Elephas maximus indicus: one gene and its partner. The protein of the gene in region 1 purifies or fractionates together with the protein of each later gene. This does not show direct contact. Links are inferred from orthologs where the notes say so. Each region holds a gene or a part of one and is shown on either strand. Other genes may lie near its edges.

Region 1 (7,689 bases):
ATACAAGTGGACAGCTTTAACAAACAAATTTATTCTCTCACAGTTTAGGAGGCTAGAAGTCTGAATTCAGAATGCCACCTCTAGGGGAAGGCTTTCTCTCTGTCAGCTGTGGGGGAAGGTCCTTGTCATCAAAATTCCTCTGGTCTAGGAGCTTCTCAGCACAGAGAACCCAGGTCCAAAGGACAAGCTCCACTCCCGGTACTTCTTTCTTGGTGGTATGAGGTCCCTCTCCTCTCTGCTCAATTCTCTCTTTTATATCTTAAAAGAGATTGACTCAAGGTACAACTTAATCCTGTTGATTGAGTCCTGCCTCATTAACGTAACTGCCTCTAATTCTACCTCATTAACATCACAGAGGTTAGAATTTACAACACAGAGCATAATCACATCAGATCACAAAATGGTGGACAGCCACACAATACTGGGAATCACAGCCTATCCTTGACACACATTTTAAGGGGAAATAATTCAATCCATAACAATGACTAAGGTGGCCAGACACAAGCCACGGTATTTTCAATCACCTCACATGCAGGCGAAACCTGGACAATGAGAAAGGAAGAACCGAAGAATTGATGCATTTGAATTATGGTGTTGGTGAAGAATATTGAATATACCATGGACTGCCAGAAGAACAGTGCCCTGGTGGCAGTGGTTAAGAGCTACAGCTGGCTAGAGCTGCTAACCAAAAGGCCAGCAATTCGAATCTACCAGCCACTTCTTGGAGACACTATGGGGCAGTTCTGCTCTGTCCTATAGGGTCGCTATGAGTTGGAATTGACTCAATGGCAACGGGTTTGTTTTGGCTTTTTTTTTTTTTTCTTTTTGGCCAGAAGGACAAACAAATCTGTCTTGGAAGTAGTACAGCCAGGATGGTCCTTAAAAGTGAGGATGGTGAGACTTTGTTCTGCTTACCTTGAACACGTTATCAGAAAGGACCAATCCCTGGAGAAGGGCATCATGCTTGTTATAGTAGAGGATCAGTGAAAAAGAGGAAGACTCAAGGAGATGGACTGACACAGTAGCTATAACAACGGGCTCAAACGTACCTACTATTGTGAGGATGGTGCAGGACCAGGGAACGTTTTAGTTTTTATACATGGGTCACTATGAGTCGGAGCCCACTTGATAGCACCTAACAACAACTAACAAGTGTGGCTCAGGAGTCCCTGGGTGGCACAAACAATTAAGGGTTGGACTAGTAACTGAAGGGGTTGGTGGTTCGAACCCATCCAGAGGCACCTCAAAAGAAAGGCCTGGCAATACGCTTCTGAGAGGTCACAGCCTTGAAAACCCTATGGAGTGCACTTTCACTTTGCAACAATGGGGTTGCCATGAGTTGGAACTGGCTCAACAGCAACTGGTAAAACTGATGTTTTGGGTATTACAGAAACCCTGTTCTTGGAGACTTTATGATTTAGTGCTTCTTCCTGCCCCTCCCCACCCCCTTCAGTGTGCCTAAGGATCTTGAACCTGTGTCTGAGATGTTGAATCAATCTGAGGTGGGGCCAGGGGAAAAGAAGTAAAAATAGGGAAGAAGATGATGCTATGTGTTGTTAATGGGATATTTTGATGATAAAAGCCAGCCAAAACAAAAAACCAAACTCATTGCTGTCATTACTTGACCATGAGCAAGTAGGTATTGTGTGGTTGGTCTCCTGCTTTATGGTGGGAATTTCGTTTGAGAATGTGACTTTGCCCACAGATAACCCACCCAATAGCACATGGCTTTTATGATACTGGCTAAAGGAGATCGATGTGTTGTTTGGTTACATGTTTTCTGGAAGAAAATGGTGGGTAACCTTTTCATACCAATAAACCCAAACCTACTGCTGCCAAGTTGACTCCAACTCATAGCAACCCTACAGGACAGAGTAGAACTGCCCCATAGGGTTTCCAAGGCTGTAATTTTTACACAAGCAGACCATCATGTCTTTCTCCTGTGGAGAAGCTGGTGGGTTCAAACCACCAACCTGTTGGTTAGCAGCTGAGTGCCTTAACCACTGTGCCATCAAGGGCTCCTTTTATACCAATAAAAAAACCAATAGCAATAGTATATACAAGTCAGGCTTTGTGGTAAGTACCTTGCTTTCATGCATTTTCCCTCACAAATATTTGTTGAGTATTTTCTGTGAATAAGTTACTTAGGAAACAGCAGTAGCAAAACAAAGTCCCTTCTGTCTTGATGTTATACATATACATATATATATATATATATATATACACACATATAATTTTATAGCGGAAATATATTTATATAATATAAATATAGCAGGTATATTATAGCGGAAAGAGTCAATAAATATGTAAATATAAATGTTGTTGTTAGGTGCTCTCAAGTCTACTTTCTACTCATAGTGACCCCATGTGACAGAGTGGAACTGCCCATAGGGCTTTCTTGCCTGTAATCTTTACAGGAGCAAACCACCAGGGCTCAAACCGCCAACCTTTTGATTACCAGTGGTGCGTTTAACCATTGGGCCACCAGGGCTCCTTGTAAATATAAATAAAGAAGACAATCTCATTAAATTCTCTAAATCACCTTTAGACATTTTAGGTTTTCACTGATCTTTATTTTTTGACTATATAAATTATATAACTAATTGTGTAAGATTCATTTAATATGGAAAAGTTAAGGAAGAAAGTAAAAATTCTATGACTGTGAAAATCATGACAAATGTTTTGGTTCCCATCATTTCATAGGTACATAATTTTAGCTAAATAAGATTATGTCTAAAATCCCACAATTAAAAATTCACAGGGTAGAGATGCTAACCCGGAATCCAAATATTTAAAGAGATTAAGTTTTTTAAGCCAAGGATTGGATAGGATTTGATCTGAGCTTCAGATAAAGGATTCTGCCACCACCAAAGGGATTATGTTATGAGGCAACGAAATTAGAAGACTATTAAATTGTTCAAATCTGTGATAATTAGGGCCAGAAATGCCCCTCCCTTAGCGGGATTCGGTATGGGGCTTCAGGCATTGGGTCACTAGGGTTGGTGTCAAAACCCCCCTCCCCCCTCACCTATATACCAGACCATACTAAGTCCTCAGTAATGTTTTTTGTATTTATGTTACTGGTAAATCGTAATTCCCGTATATCAATTTTTTATCACTACTTCATTCTCAAAAAAGTTACTGATACAGGTTCACAAATACTGAATTACCACAATATTATAGCTAAAGCACCAAATAATTTGACTAAATCAGTAACTATAAAAACACCAGCAGTAATGAAAATAAGGAGTGCTTGTAGAGCATGCAGAAAAAACCACAGGACTTGAAGCACCATTGTAAATTGGGTAATAATGACAGCTCTAACCAGAGCGTTCTAGAAGGTTCAAAAAGTAAATTAGCATAGCGTTTATCTTATAGGTATATTAACACATGTAAGCTGGCCTCACGAAAAATGTGTTTGTTATAACTAACTACATGGGTATTTTATTAAAAAATAAAAAATTTCTGCTGAAACACTGCACAAAATCTTTTTAGACAGTCATTTTGGTGCCATCTCCTCTGACAGTATCACTCAGTACAGTGGCCACTTCTCACCACCCCCATCCGTCTAGTGACTCCACTGGTTATGAGGACCCACTTAGGCGGCTATTTTGTTCCCTTCCTAGTAGGTAATTTCAGAGCGGCCCAGACATCCAATTTCTCACCAAATAATTTTTCCTCTAGGACTGATATGGATCAGATATACACAGGGCTGCCCCATGTACCTGGTATCTTTGAGGCAATATTTAAAAAAAAAAAGTCATTTTTAATCCCACGCAGTAAATCTCTTTTTGCTGCAGTTGTACAGGACCGCCTAGATTTATAGCAAATGGCAGAGCCGTAACAGCTCCCAGGGTATTAATTATCACATCATTAAAAGAAATTTTCCAGCCTTCGACAAGTCCCTTTCCGGCTGTCCTGCGAGCAGGTGGTTCAGAGCCAGTTTGGGGCGGGGGGGTGGGCGGGGCGGGAGTTCTAAGTTTGTTAAGCTTCTAGCGCGAGGGACAATAATGGAGCAGCAGAGATTCTGCACAGCAGCATTCCAGCTGTCGCCAGCGTTCCCGAGTTCAATGACTGGCGGCGTCCGCTCGGGAGTCCGCATTTTTAAACAACCCGGGATCACGTGGCTGCCAGCCCGCTCTGCAACTGGCCCTCAGAGTCTCACACTTGGCTTTGGCGCCGAAGCTTTCCCCCCATGTGGATGAGACCATTGACTCCATGCTCGGAGGGGGTACGGCCCAACTTCACGGCCAAAGCTTCCCCGAATGAAATTTGATTAGGTCACAGGAAAGGCTCAGCCACGAACTTAAATAATCAAATGAAATACACCGAGCAACGCTGTAGAAGACTCGTTTTGCTAAAAAGAAAAAGCGACCTGACCCGAGCTCCTCCTACACTCTGTGGTGGCCGCAAGGGTGGTTTTGCCCGAGGCGCGGGCTCCGCCTCCACGGGCGCCGCCATTTTGTTTGGCTGGAGGGGAGTGAGCGGCGCCTTGGGGGAGGGGTCTCGTAGGCGCCTTACCTGACCCTACGGCCACCGTGCTGGTACTGCTCCGCAGGGAGGCCTTCTCCCTGGCTACGGGCGCGGAACAATGTACATAAAGCAGGTAAGGCCTGCGCACTCGCCTGGCCCGTCGCTGGTCCGTGAGGAACGCTCCTTGAGGCGGGGGTGTTGCAGTGCGACCCGCGGCCTCGCTCTTCTCCGCGCGAACGGTGGACCCAAGGCTGGACAGGGGCCTGTGGGGGAAGGGAGCGAGGTCCCGGCCTGCGAGCGTCCGGGTCGCGGGGCTCGGAGAACTGGGGCGCGCTCCTCTGCAGCCCGGCCCGCCCCACCCCCCCGCAGGGTCTCTTCTGAGGGAAGCGGGATCTCGGGGAGGTGTGGAGGGGCCGGCGGCGGGGGCAGGGGCCGAGCCGGGAGCGCTGGCAGAGAGGGCTCAGAGCTGGCTGGCGGCCGGCCCGGGGGCGGGAAGGGCAGTGCTATCCTGCAGAGATGGCCCCGAAGGAACCCTGTGGTGGGGGGGGGATGTGAGGAGAGTCGGTCTCCCCTGTCGGGGGCGCCCCTTGGGGTGTCGGCTGCAACCGGGGACCTTTCGGCTCCCGGATTTACCGGAGAAGTAAAAGGGGATCCTCATTCCTGCAGAAGGTGGAGCGCCTCACTCAGTTGTTCACTTCTGTCAAAATGGTCTTCCCGCGCAGGAGTCCACCACAAAGATGAGCCAATTCACGCTATTTGGGAAAAGGTTTTCTATTGGATTGTTGGACTCCAAGGACTCTTTTGGAATGTTTACTGGTTTTGGCTGGTGGTATGTTTGACTGAAGGGAGCGCTCACTGGGCTTGGAGTCAGGAAAGCTGGGACCGGTCTGCCTCCATGATACACTTTTACAATAGGATGTAATGTTGCGTGTTCCAGTCACGCTTACGCAGGGTACTTGAGTTTGAGAGTTCCTTAATAGGTCACTAATTATGATTCTTAAAAACAAAAAATTGGCAATGCTTACTGACAAAAGGAGTGTTTTAAAAAGATTTTTAATCTTCACTTTCCAAAATGAGTTTTTTTCTTATAGAAAAAAATGGAAAGTTTTCTAACTTGCGTTAAATGAGAAAGTAAAATGGAAAGAAATGTTACTTTAAAAAAAAAATTACGGGGAACCCCGGGTGGAAAGGGGAGGGTGCAGTCACATGGACAGGGATTGCAACCAATGTCACAAAACAATTTGTGTATAAATTTTTGAATGAGAAGCTAATTTGCGCTGTAAACTTTCCCCTAAGGCACAATAAAATTAAAAAGAAAAACAGTTACTTTAGAAATTATTTCTTTTTGTGTGCGTTCTCAAAAATATCTCTTTTACTTATTAGGTTATTATCCAGGGTTTTCGAAGTTATAGAGATCAAACAATTGTAGATCCCTTCAGTTCAAAGCATAATGTTATTGGTAAGTGTTCCTGGTTTACTAGATCAGATTTATGTATACAGCCATATAAATTCTGTCCATTCAAACCATGTTATTGGCTTGAGGAGACAGGAATTGTCTTTCAGTATTGCATGCATTTATCTGTTTGAAGTAATCTCTTTGTCCTTTATCTGCACTGATGAATTGCTTATTTTGTAAATTTAAAATTCTTGGGTAAAACAGTTGTAAGTTACTCATTTTTATTTGAGTGACCTTATTTGTGTGAAAGTGTGTTTTAGTAGCTTAGATAACTATTTTTTAAATTTAGACTGAATGGAACTAAATTCAGTGTTTGAGCCATTCTGTTCTTGATATATGTCATATGCTTGTTAAAATGCTCACTGTTTATTTCACAGGTGATCATTCTTTAGTCATAAATTAGATTGTCAGTTTTTCTTTTCCTGTCATAATGTCTAAGAGCTTGGTGGGAAGAGTGTAAATTTTGGAGTATAATGGAATGGGGTTCAGAAATCCCAGTTCTGTTTGAAACTTTACTCTCTGAGAAGCTTCTGTTTTGTCAAAGTGGGACAATGATATCTCTTTCATAGGGCTGTTGGGAAGATTAAATGAGAAAGCATATATAAATGTAAGGAAAAAGGACTAAATAGTGATTGCCATTATACTATATTTAGTCTTCAGATTATATAATGTCCATTTTGCTGATACAGCCAATGAAAGTTTTCTGTCTGCTCAACTCTTAAAGGATAGATGAAATGAGTGCTTCTAAACACACATGCTGTTGACAGAGTTTTGTCATACAGTGTCCTCATTACTAGGTACGATTTATGTAGAAAATCAGTGGATGGTAATGTTCCCAGAAGACCCTGGGAGAATCATACTTCCTTTATTCTAATGTAATGGTTTTATCTGTGCTCCATACATTGGTTGCAACCTTGTAGTTGGAAATAAAGAAAACATGCTTTTCTTCCTGCTCCAGCTATTTTGAAAATTTAGTTAATTGAATTGATGTGCCATAAAGATAGCTTGGTTTTACTGGAATTTTGCTTACATTTTGATTATAGATGCTTTCTGATTTTCATCAATCAGAAAATCTCTAGAAATGGAGAAAAATGAACAATTACTAGATTTATATTATTTCTACATGTTATAAAACCACTTGCCATCAAGTCAATTCCAACTCATAGTGACCCTTTGGGGCAGAGTAGAACTGCCCCATAGGGTTTCCAAGGAGCGGCTGGTGGATTGGAACTGCAGACCTTTTGGTTAGCCACCAAGCCCTTAACGACTGCCACCAGGGCTCCAGATATGTTACACGGTAGAAATAAATACCTTAGTATTTCATTTGTATAGTTTTATAAATGACCTGTAAAATGACCATTATTTATCTAGATTGATTAAATTACTTCTGTAGACTCTACTCAGAAGTCTGTAGAATCTTCCGTAGAGGGTCAGTGAAAAAGAAGACGACCCTCAACGAGCTGTATTGGCATAGTGGCTGGAACAATGGACTCAAACAGCAATGATTGTGAGGATGGCACAGGACCAGGCAGTGTTTTGTTCTGTTGTATATAGGGTTGCTATGAGTTGGAATCGACTCAACGGCACTTAAGAACAACAGTTTATTATTATTGTCTTAGCTGTTGTCAGAGAGCTGTGTTTTGCTACTTTGGTTGCAACACTAGCATTGTTGGTAGTCATTTTTACATAGGAAAATTGTCTTAAATGTTGTTTTAACTAAAACAAACCTGATACACAACTTTAAATATGTAACAACACAT
Region 2 (8,150 bases), on another chromosome or scaffold:
AGCTTTGGGGCCCCCTGGCCCTCTCTTGCACGCGCTCTGACACACACGCCATCCACACACTTGGGAGAGCTGGTGCACACCACACACTGGCCCTGGCACCACCCTATTCCCACCTCTAGGAATCCCCTAAGGTTGCTGTCTTACCCACCCACTCTTGGAATTCCAGTTCCTGCCCCCACTAAACCTGACTGTGGAAGTAGAGTCAGGAGCATAGGGAACACAATGGAGATGCTCCCAGGGCCATGTGTAACCTAGTGTTTGGGGTGGGGGATAGTTAGCAACAGCAAAGATGAGGGTTAGCAACCAGGGCTGTCATCTGTGAGGACTCAGCTGTGCTAGGGATTCCTTTTCAGGTTGTGTAATAATCTGCTCACTGTCAACGTGTCTTACTTTGAGCAAGGGGCACCTTTTTCTGTTTGCACATGGGTCAGTAGCTGCTTAGTGCCTAGTGTTTCTCCTGATCCAAGGCAACAGCCTCATGACCCCGCAGCCTCTGCTCTGACCTTGGTCTCCAAGTGGCCCCACTCCCACCTCTCTTTGACCATCAGGGATTTCTCCTACCACCTCCCTGCCTGCTGCCCTCTCTCTTGTCTCTTTTCTTTTTTCCTACCCCGACCTTTTCTCTTTCAGACTTGGCCAGGTACAACCAGGGCCTGGGCCCCCCACCCAAGTTCCAGGTGACCCTGAATTTCTGGGAGGAAAGTTCTGACCCTAGCCAAAACCCACAGAGTCTTATTACAGTGCAGGTGAGTTCAGGGCAGGGTGGACGGGGCATGCAGATCGGGCTCCAGGGAGGAAAAGGGCCTCCATGGGGAAGGAGCTCTTGTAGGTAGTACCTGCTGTGCTGCACTCACTGATGGCTTCTTCCCACCTCTTCCTCTACAGATGGAGCAAGCCTTTGCCCGACATTTGCTGGAGAGGACAATGCCAGAGGAGCAGGCAGCCACTCTGCCCCTGAGCCTGGAGGATCCCCCCGCCTTCCCATCTCTTTTCTTCCTCTCTCCTTTAAACAGAAACATTCTCCACACTGGTGACCTGAACTCCTCTGTGATAATTCTCGGTGATTGTCTGTGATGGTTACAGCCTTGAACTCTTCATGCACCCTGGGTGGTAGGAGACTCAAGGATGATTTTTACCCCTTATCCCTCCCCCCACCCTTTTTTTTTTTTTAATTTTGAGGTATACCTTCTTTCATCTCTAAAGAACTGGGAAAATCCAAATGGCTGAAACTCAGGAGACCTTTCCCTCTTCCCCTACACCCCAACTCTAAAGCCAAGCACTTTATATTTGCATCCTAGAACTTCATTAAGCATTTTAAATAAACTTTTCTTGAAAGAAGCATCAGTATCTGATTGGCTGAGAGAAGAAGGTAACAGGGTCAAAAGTAGATGACAGAGATGTAAACTTGGGAGCTGGGCACTTGGGTTCTCTTGCTGCTGACATCTCCGGGCCTATTTTCTCTCCTCTGTCCCCAACTTCTGGCTAGCAGACCGTCTAGGCTCTGTGGGCTCCGGACCCTCTAGACAACTAGAATCAGGAGAAGGTGCAGGGCCAGTCACCAAGAGGGGCACTGAAATGACAGCTGGGCACTACAACCACCTATTTCACAAAGGAAAATTTGCACTCCACCATTCTTTGCTAGAAGCCTTTGGTTAGGGCCTCAACGACAGGCCTGCAGTTGGACTGGAGTTCTAAATGAAAAGAGGAGACAGTTGAGATTGACCTGAAATTGGGCTAGAGGCCTGAGGCCTGGGAGGGGAAATCAGAGGGAAGAGTTATTGAACCTCCTGTGTCTGGCTGCTTCGGTGGGGACAGATGGGGCCCTCCCAGCACAAGTGCATTGTCACCTTGACTGAAGGTTATGCCCAAAACCAAATTCCTCACCCTACCTGAGTCCCACAAAAGACAACCTAGCAAAAAAAAAAGACAGCCTAGGCAACCATGTCACCAATACCCATTCACTGAAATATGAGGGGTCCAAATCAGCTAACACTCTTTTCTTTTAACTCCTGTGTTCGTTTTGTCACCAAACTGGGAATTCTTCCTTCACATGACCACTTGTCACACAACTTTTCTGTATACTCACTGCCACCAGACGAGTTTAGACCCAGGTCATCACTTGACTGTCACAGCCTCCAGCTTACCCCTTCCTGCTCATGACACCAGCTGGGATTTCCAGACTCCTTCCTGTCTTGTCACTTCAGAGGCTCACCGCGTGATCAAATCCAAGTGCCTCAGGTTCTCTGAGGATCTTCCTCTTGCTCTCTTATATGACAAACTAAGTGCTGCTTTTGAGCCTCTCTGTCTCCTGCGAACTTCTATTCAGTCTTGCCCATCATTCTCCTAAGAAGCCAAGAGCCTAAACAGGCGTCCATGCTACCAGTGAAGAAATTAGGTACCCAGTGCCTCACGTGCCAAAGCCTTGTTGTGCCTTTAATTTTTGGAAATTGCTCCTGAACCTTCTTTGTACCAGGTCCTAAGCTATCTCCTTGACTTCCATTTTCTCGCATACCCTACATCCAATCCACCAGCAAATCTATCATTGTTCTTTAAAAATACATTCAGAAGCTGACCACTTCTCCCTGCTTCCACCACCAACACTTTGGAACAAATCACCTGTCATGGACTGAATGTCCCCCAAAAATATCTGTCAACTTGGCTAGGTCATGATTCCCAATACTGTATGATTTTCTACCATTTTGTCATCTGATGTGATTTCCCTGTGTGTTGTAAATCCTATCACTATTTTGTAATGAGATGGATTAGAGGCAGTTATATTGATGAGATCTACAAGATTAGATAGTGTCTTAAGTCAATCTCTTTTGAGATATAAAAGAGAAACCAGCAGAGAGATGTGGGAACCTATACCATCAAGAAAGGAGCACCGGGTGCGGATCTCATCCTTTGGACCTGAGGCTCCTGCACTGAGATGCTTCCAGACCAAGGGAAGATTGATGACAAGGACCTTCCTCCAGAGCCGACAGAGAGAAGAAAGCCTTCCCCTGGAGCTGACTCCCTGAATTTGGGCTTGTAGCCTACTAGACTGTGAGAGAATAAATTTCTTTGTTAAAGCAATCCACTTGTGGTACTTCTGTTATAGCAGCACTAGATGACCAAGACACTACCATCATCTCTTATATCTAACTTCCTAATTAGACTCCCTGCTTCCACTCTTATTCACCTTCAGCCTATTCTCAATAAAGCAGAGATCTTCTTAACCTATAAAATCTGGTCATGTCATACCTCTACTCAAAACTTTCCATTGGTTCCCAATTCAGGGTAAAAGCCCACATCCTTACAATGGCCTCCAAGGTCCTTGTCATGTGGTTCTCATCCTCCTCTCTAACCTCATCCCTTGCCATTTTTCCCCTAGTCACTTTGCTCCAGGTTCCTTGAACCTACCAAGCACATTTCTACCTCATGTCCTTTGCACTTGCTGGTTCTTCTGTCTAAAACACTCTTCCCCCAAGAAGGCACAAGACTTGTCCCCCCACTTAAGTTGGGTCTCTGTTAAAATGTTACATATTCAGAAAAGGTTTACATGAACACCTTATCTGAATACTTACTATTCCTCTTGTATGCTGCCTCATTTTTCTTCACAGCACTGATCACCACCTGACGTATTTCTATTTCTCTACTTGCTTATCATCTCTCCATTCCTACTGCATAAGGACAGAAACTTGTTTTATTCATTGCTGTATCCCAAGTACCTAGAGGAGTGCCTGGCACATACTTATGGAATGAGTGGACAAATGAGTGAATCAATTACTCTGTGTCCCTTATCTCCTAAACTAGTTTCTAAGCACCTTAAAGGCAGGTGCCCCCACTTTTTTATCTTTTTGCCTCAAACTGAGCACTTAAAAATATTGACAACTTATGTATGGTGATTAAAACAATTTGCAAGTATCACATAGAAGCCAATCTAGCCAAGCACAGTGGAAGAGGGACTGGGAACACGAGTCCAGAGAGTGAAGTTCACAACCATGCTTTCACTAAGGAGCTGTGTAGTTTGGGAGGGTCTGTATGGGCCTGTTTTTTCCTCTGAAAAGGCAGGGCTTGGACTAGATGATTTCTAAATTCCTTTCAGCTTTAACATTCTGTGGCGGTAAATTTAGGGCAACTGCAAGCTCACTTGATGAATACTTTTTTTTTTTTTTAGATGCCAGGTATTGGTTGAAAAAAACAGGACCCCCTAACAAGAGCTCTCAGATGGAAGGAGGCTGTAACAAGATTGTGTCAGCTCAGCTGCAATAAAGTGGCAGAAGGTCTGGAGTCAAAGTGGGGAAGGGCATTCTAGGCCAAGGCAGTGGCTGTGCAGAGGCAGCAGGCACGGGGATGGTGAGGGTTTGTAACCACAGTACAACCGTACAACATAATTTCACACAAAGAATGTTTGTGACAAATAAATGGCTTTTGTAGGCGGATGACTATGCCCTGAATCCAACAGAGGACAGTCTATTCCAGCCAGGAGAACATTTACAACTGGAACGACCAGATGGGGCATGCCTACAACCCGGCAATTTCTCTGACTGCTTCACAAGTGATCTGACTTCCTCATTGACCTGTGCCGGGCTGAATCCACCTCACACCGTTTCTACCTCCCCAGCATCACAGGCAATAGGCTGGGCACAAAGTCAGACCAATCAATTACTGACTGATGGAATTTGGCGGGAAGGGCAGGGTTTAACCGCAGGTCAGGCGCCTTACATCTTGGCACCTTGAACAGGGTCAGGGCGGTTGCCCCCTACATGACCCCGACCTCCGCTGGTGAACCGCTGTTGTTACCAGGTCCCCTGAGGGGGAGAGGCTGGGATTTGCTCTCCGCCCATTGGTCAGTGGAGTAGCACCTCGGAGAAATGCTTGTTACTAGAGGCGAGAAGGAGAGCCCATTGGACAGGACACCTCACAATGGCCCAGCAGCACGCAGGTTCTTCCGATTGGTTCGCTGCTGTCTCAGGAGACCCCTGTGGCCTCGAACCCCGACAGACTGCTTCGTGCCCAACCCGACTCCTGTTCCCCATTGGCTGTTCTGAGGGTCTCCGCCCTCAAATAAGGAGCGAGATGCAAAGCACCCGAGCGCTTACTCCCTGCCGTGGGATCTAGTCCTGCAGGGGGCGACCCAGGACGGGGACTGCAGGTGCTCACGCTGCGTGTAAAGACGGAGGAAATCGGCACCTCGCCAGAGGCTGGGAAGGTCTACTGCGGAGGACACCTGGTCTCCCTTGGGACCTGGGCTGGGGCTGAACCTTTGGGAGCTCAGCATCTCCAGCCTGGAACCCAATCCGGAAGGGTCCAATAAGTAAGTTCTAAGTACCCATACGGCGCGCGAACCCACTCAGGTCTCACGAAGAGGGGCGTCCCACACATGCGTATTGAATCTGTTTATCTCAATTGTTTATCCGTAGATTGTTCATCAGTTCATTTATTTGGCTTTCTGGGGCCACCCCGCACGCCACTTGTCCAAATCTATCTCTCTGACGGTGTTGGGAAAGCCCGAGGGCTAAAGAATTCGGATTGAGATCCAAACGGAGGAGGGGCGGAGACAAGGGTGAAGCCGCGGAGGGAAGATGTTCTACTACCCCAACGTGCTTCAGCGCCACACAGGCTGCTTCGCCACAATCTGGTAAGCGCGGGGCCTGCTGGGGGCGCTCCAGGAGGGGCGCCGGGAATCTCAGCCTGACGCTGCCTCCACCCCACTCGGCTCCAGGCTGGCAGCTACGCGCGGCAGCCGCTTGGTGAAGCGGGAATACCTCAAGGTGAACGTTGTGAAGACCTGGTAAGGCCCAGAGAAGGGAGGAGAGGCCTGGTGCCTGGGTGGGTCAGGGAATGGCTGGGGTGGGCAAGACTGTGAGGCCGGTCCTCGGCGCAGCGGTGGGCAGCGAGGAAATCCTCCATTACGTGAAATCCTCCCCCAGTGAGGAAATCCTCAATTACGTGTTGGTTCGAGTGGAGCCCCCGCAGCCTGGCCTGCCGCGGCCCCGGTTCTCCCTCTATCTCTCAGCCCAGCTTCAGATCGGCGTGATCCGGGTCTACTGCCAACAATGCCAGTACCTTGTGGGTAAGGCGGGAAGCCTGGGAGGTGGGGCAGAGCGGAGTGGCCCTGGGCTGCCTGGCTCCCGGCGCTGACCCTTCCTGCCCCCAGAGGACATCCAGCACATCCTGGAGCGGCTGCATCGTGCCCAGATGCAGATCCGCATTGATATGGCAGAGGCTGAACTGTGAGTGTCCCCCTGGGACTGAGCCCACCCAGCCTTTGGTGGGATGCCCACCCGATTGGCCTCCACCCTTCTCAGCCTCAGTCCTTCACAGCCCACTGCCTCCCGCCAGACCCAGCCTGCTGCTGCCTAGCCGCCTGGCCATGATGGAGACCCTGGAAGATGCTCCTGACCCCTTTTTTGGGATGATGGCTGTGGAACCCAGACTTCCCAGCCCCTTTGAGATCCCTCAGGTAGGGCTCAGTCCCCTGGAACACCTCAACTCATGAAGTGACAATGCAGAAGTGGAGGGCTGTCCCTGTGCCAGTCTGGCAGTGGGTTAGGGGAGGGGGCCTGCCATAGCTCTCCCTCACAGGAGATGGTGGGCTGGTTCAGGCACTTACCCATTCAGGCCAGCCTGCTAGGATGGTCTCTCCCCAGGAGGGAGCTCCTGTCCCTGCTCATCTCCACACTGTTCCTGCTGCCGAGACCCTAATCCAGGCCCTCATCATCTCTCTGCATGAGGCTTCTCTACCCGTATCCACCTCCAAACCATTCCCCACACCCCCACAGCTTGGATGTCACCCGCTTCCTTCAAACACACCTCCAATAGCTCCTCACTGTAAACAATAATAGCATTTGGGGCTCTCCATGCCGTGGTCCAGAGCTAGCCCTCTCCAGACAGCTCTCTCCTCGGCAAATCCTCTGGGTGTCCTTGGCTGCCAAACACCAGTCTGGCCCCTCAGCCCCACGTTCTCTTTTTCTCCCCGTAGCTCAAATGGTCATCTCTCATGTTCTACTAGTTACATCCTCTGTGTCCTTACAGACCTGGCTCACACGCTGCCCTTTTTCACGCCTTTATCCCACCCTCAGCCAGAACCAAATGCTGTTTCAGAACTCCAGGCATTTTTAGAGCCACGTTTTACCTTTTGCCTTGACTCTTGTAGGGGTCATATACAAACCTGTCTCTCTGCTAGGTCAAAAATCTTTCTGTTCACCTCTGTCCCCCATGACACTTGACATAAGGGTGCAGTGCTTCTTGCATAGATGGACTGACAAAAGCTAGATGATGGGGGGGGTGGTGGATGGGAGGAAAGGGAACCAGATGGGGAGTGGGCTCACTGCAGGCTGATGTTAATGCAATGAGAATTAGACATAAAAGGGTATCACTGTCCACTGTCTGAATAACTATGGAGCCCTGGTGGTGCAGTGGTTAAGAACTTGGCTGCTAACCAAAAGGTTGGCAGTTCAAATCCACCAGCCACTCCTTGGGAACCCTATGGGGCAGTTCTACCCTGCCCTATAGGGTCGCTATAAGTGGGAATCAACTTGATGGCAGTGAGTTTGGTTTTTTGGTTTGATCTGAATATCTAAGGTTGTGGAAGTAGAAAAGCAGGGGGCTGATGCTGATTCCTATCTTTTGTCCCCAATCCCTTCCCAAAGATTCGACGCCTCTTAGAGGCCGTGACCCCAGAGAGAGTTCTTGAGGAGATCCCTCCTGAAGTCCCTCCAGAGCTCAGGGAGCCAGGTGAGCACAGAGAACCTTCTTTCTGTGAGACATAGGAAGGCCCAAGAGCTGAGGAAATGACTATCTTTGAGCTGTCCCTGAAGTCAGGCCTTGTGAGGGGCACTTTATATGTGTAAACTCACCACTGCCTTAGAAGAGTCTTATGAGGTCAGAATTTTTATCCCCATCTTACAGATGAGGAAAGTGAGGCCAACAGTGGCTAAGCACTCTACCCAAGGTCAGATCGCTTGTGACTGTCATGAGCCTGACTAGAACACAGGTTGACTTCATGCCAGAGTTGGTGCTTTTGCCTCATTGTATGGGTGTGGGGTCCTGGAAAGGAGCAAAAGGGTTAATGTGACTCCCCTGACCCTCCAGAAAGGATGCTGGGTATTGTGCCCTCTCCCGAGGTCATCACCCTCCTGGAGGCAGAGCCCATACAAATCTTG

What was found.
Region 2: the proteins of SMC3 (region 1) and REC8 purify together in Homo sapiens (affinity purification with mass spectrometry; 3 studies listed by BioGRID and IntAct, with this or other methods). This does not show direct contact. The link is inferred for Elephas maximus indicus from reciprocal best matches to the Homo sapiens genes SMC3 and REC8.

What each region holds. Positions count from the first base shown.
Region 1 is NC_064834.1:61,393,646-61,401,334, forward strand, and holds the start of SMC3 (structural maintenance of chromosomes protein 3), read left to right. Parts: upstream 1-4,445; 5' UTR 4,446-4,591; coding exon 4,592-4,606; intron 4,607-5,856; coding exon 5,857-5,932; intron 5,933-7,689. UniProt on the Homo sapiens protein: Central component of cohesin, a complex required for chromosome cohesion during the cell cycle. The cohesin complex may form a large proteinaceous ring within which sister chromatids can be trapped.
Region 2 is NC_064828.1:35,520,574-35,528,723, forward strand, and holds the start of REC8 (meiotic recombination protein REC8 homolog), read left to right. Parts: upstream 1-4,902; 5' UTR 4,903-5,299; intron 5,300-5,405; 5' UTR 5,406-5,567; coding exon 5,568-5,623; intron 5,624-5,707; coding exon 5,708-5,776; intron 5,777-5,915; coding exon 5,916-6,058; intron 6,059-6,142; coding exon 6,143-6,218; intron 6,219-6,327; coding exon 6,328-6,448; intron 6,449-7,637; coding exon 7,638-7,722; intron 7,723-8,079; coding exon 8,080-8,150. Other genes in the region: IRF9 (interferon regulatory factor 9), read left to right, coding at 631-746, 886-1,074. UniProt on the Homo sapiens protein: Required during meiosis for separation of sister chromatids and homologous chromosomes.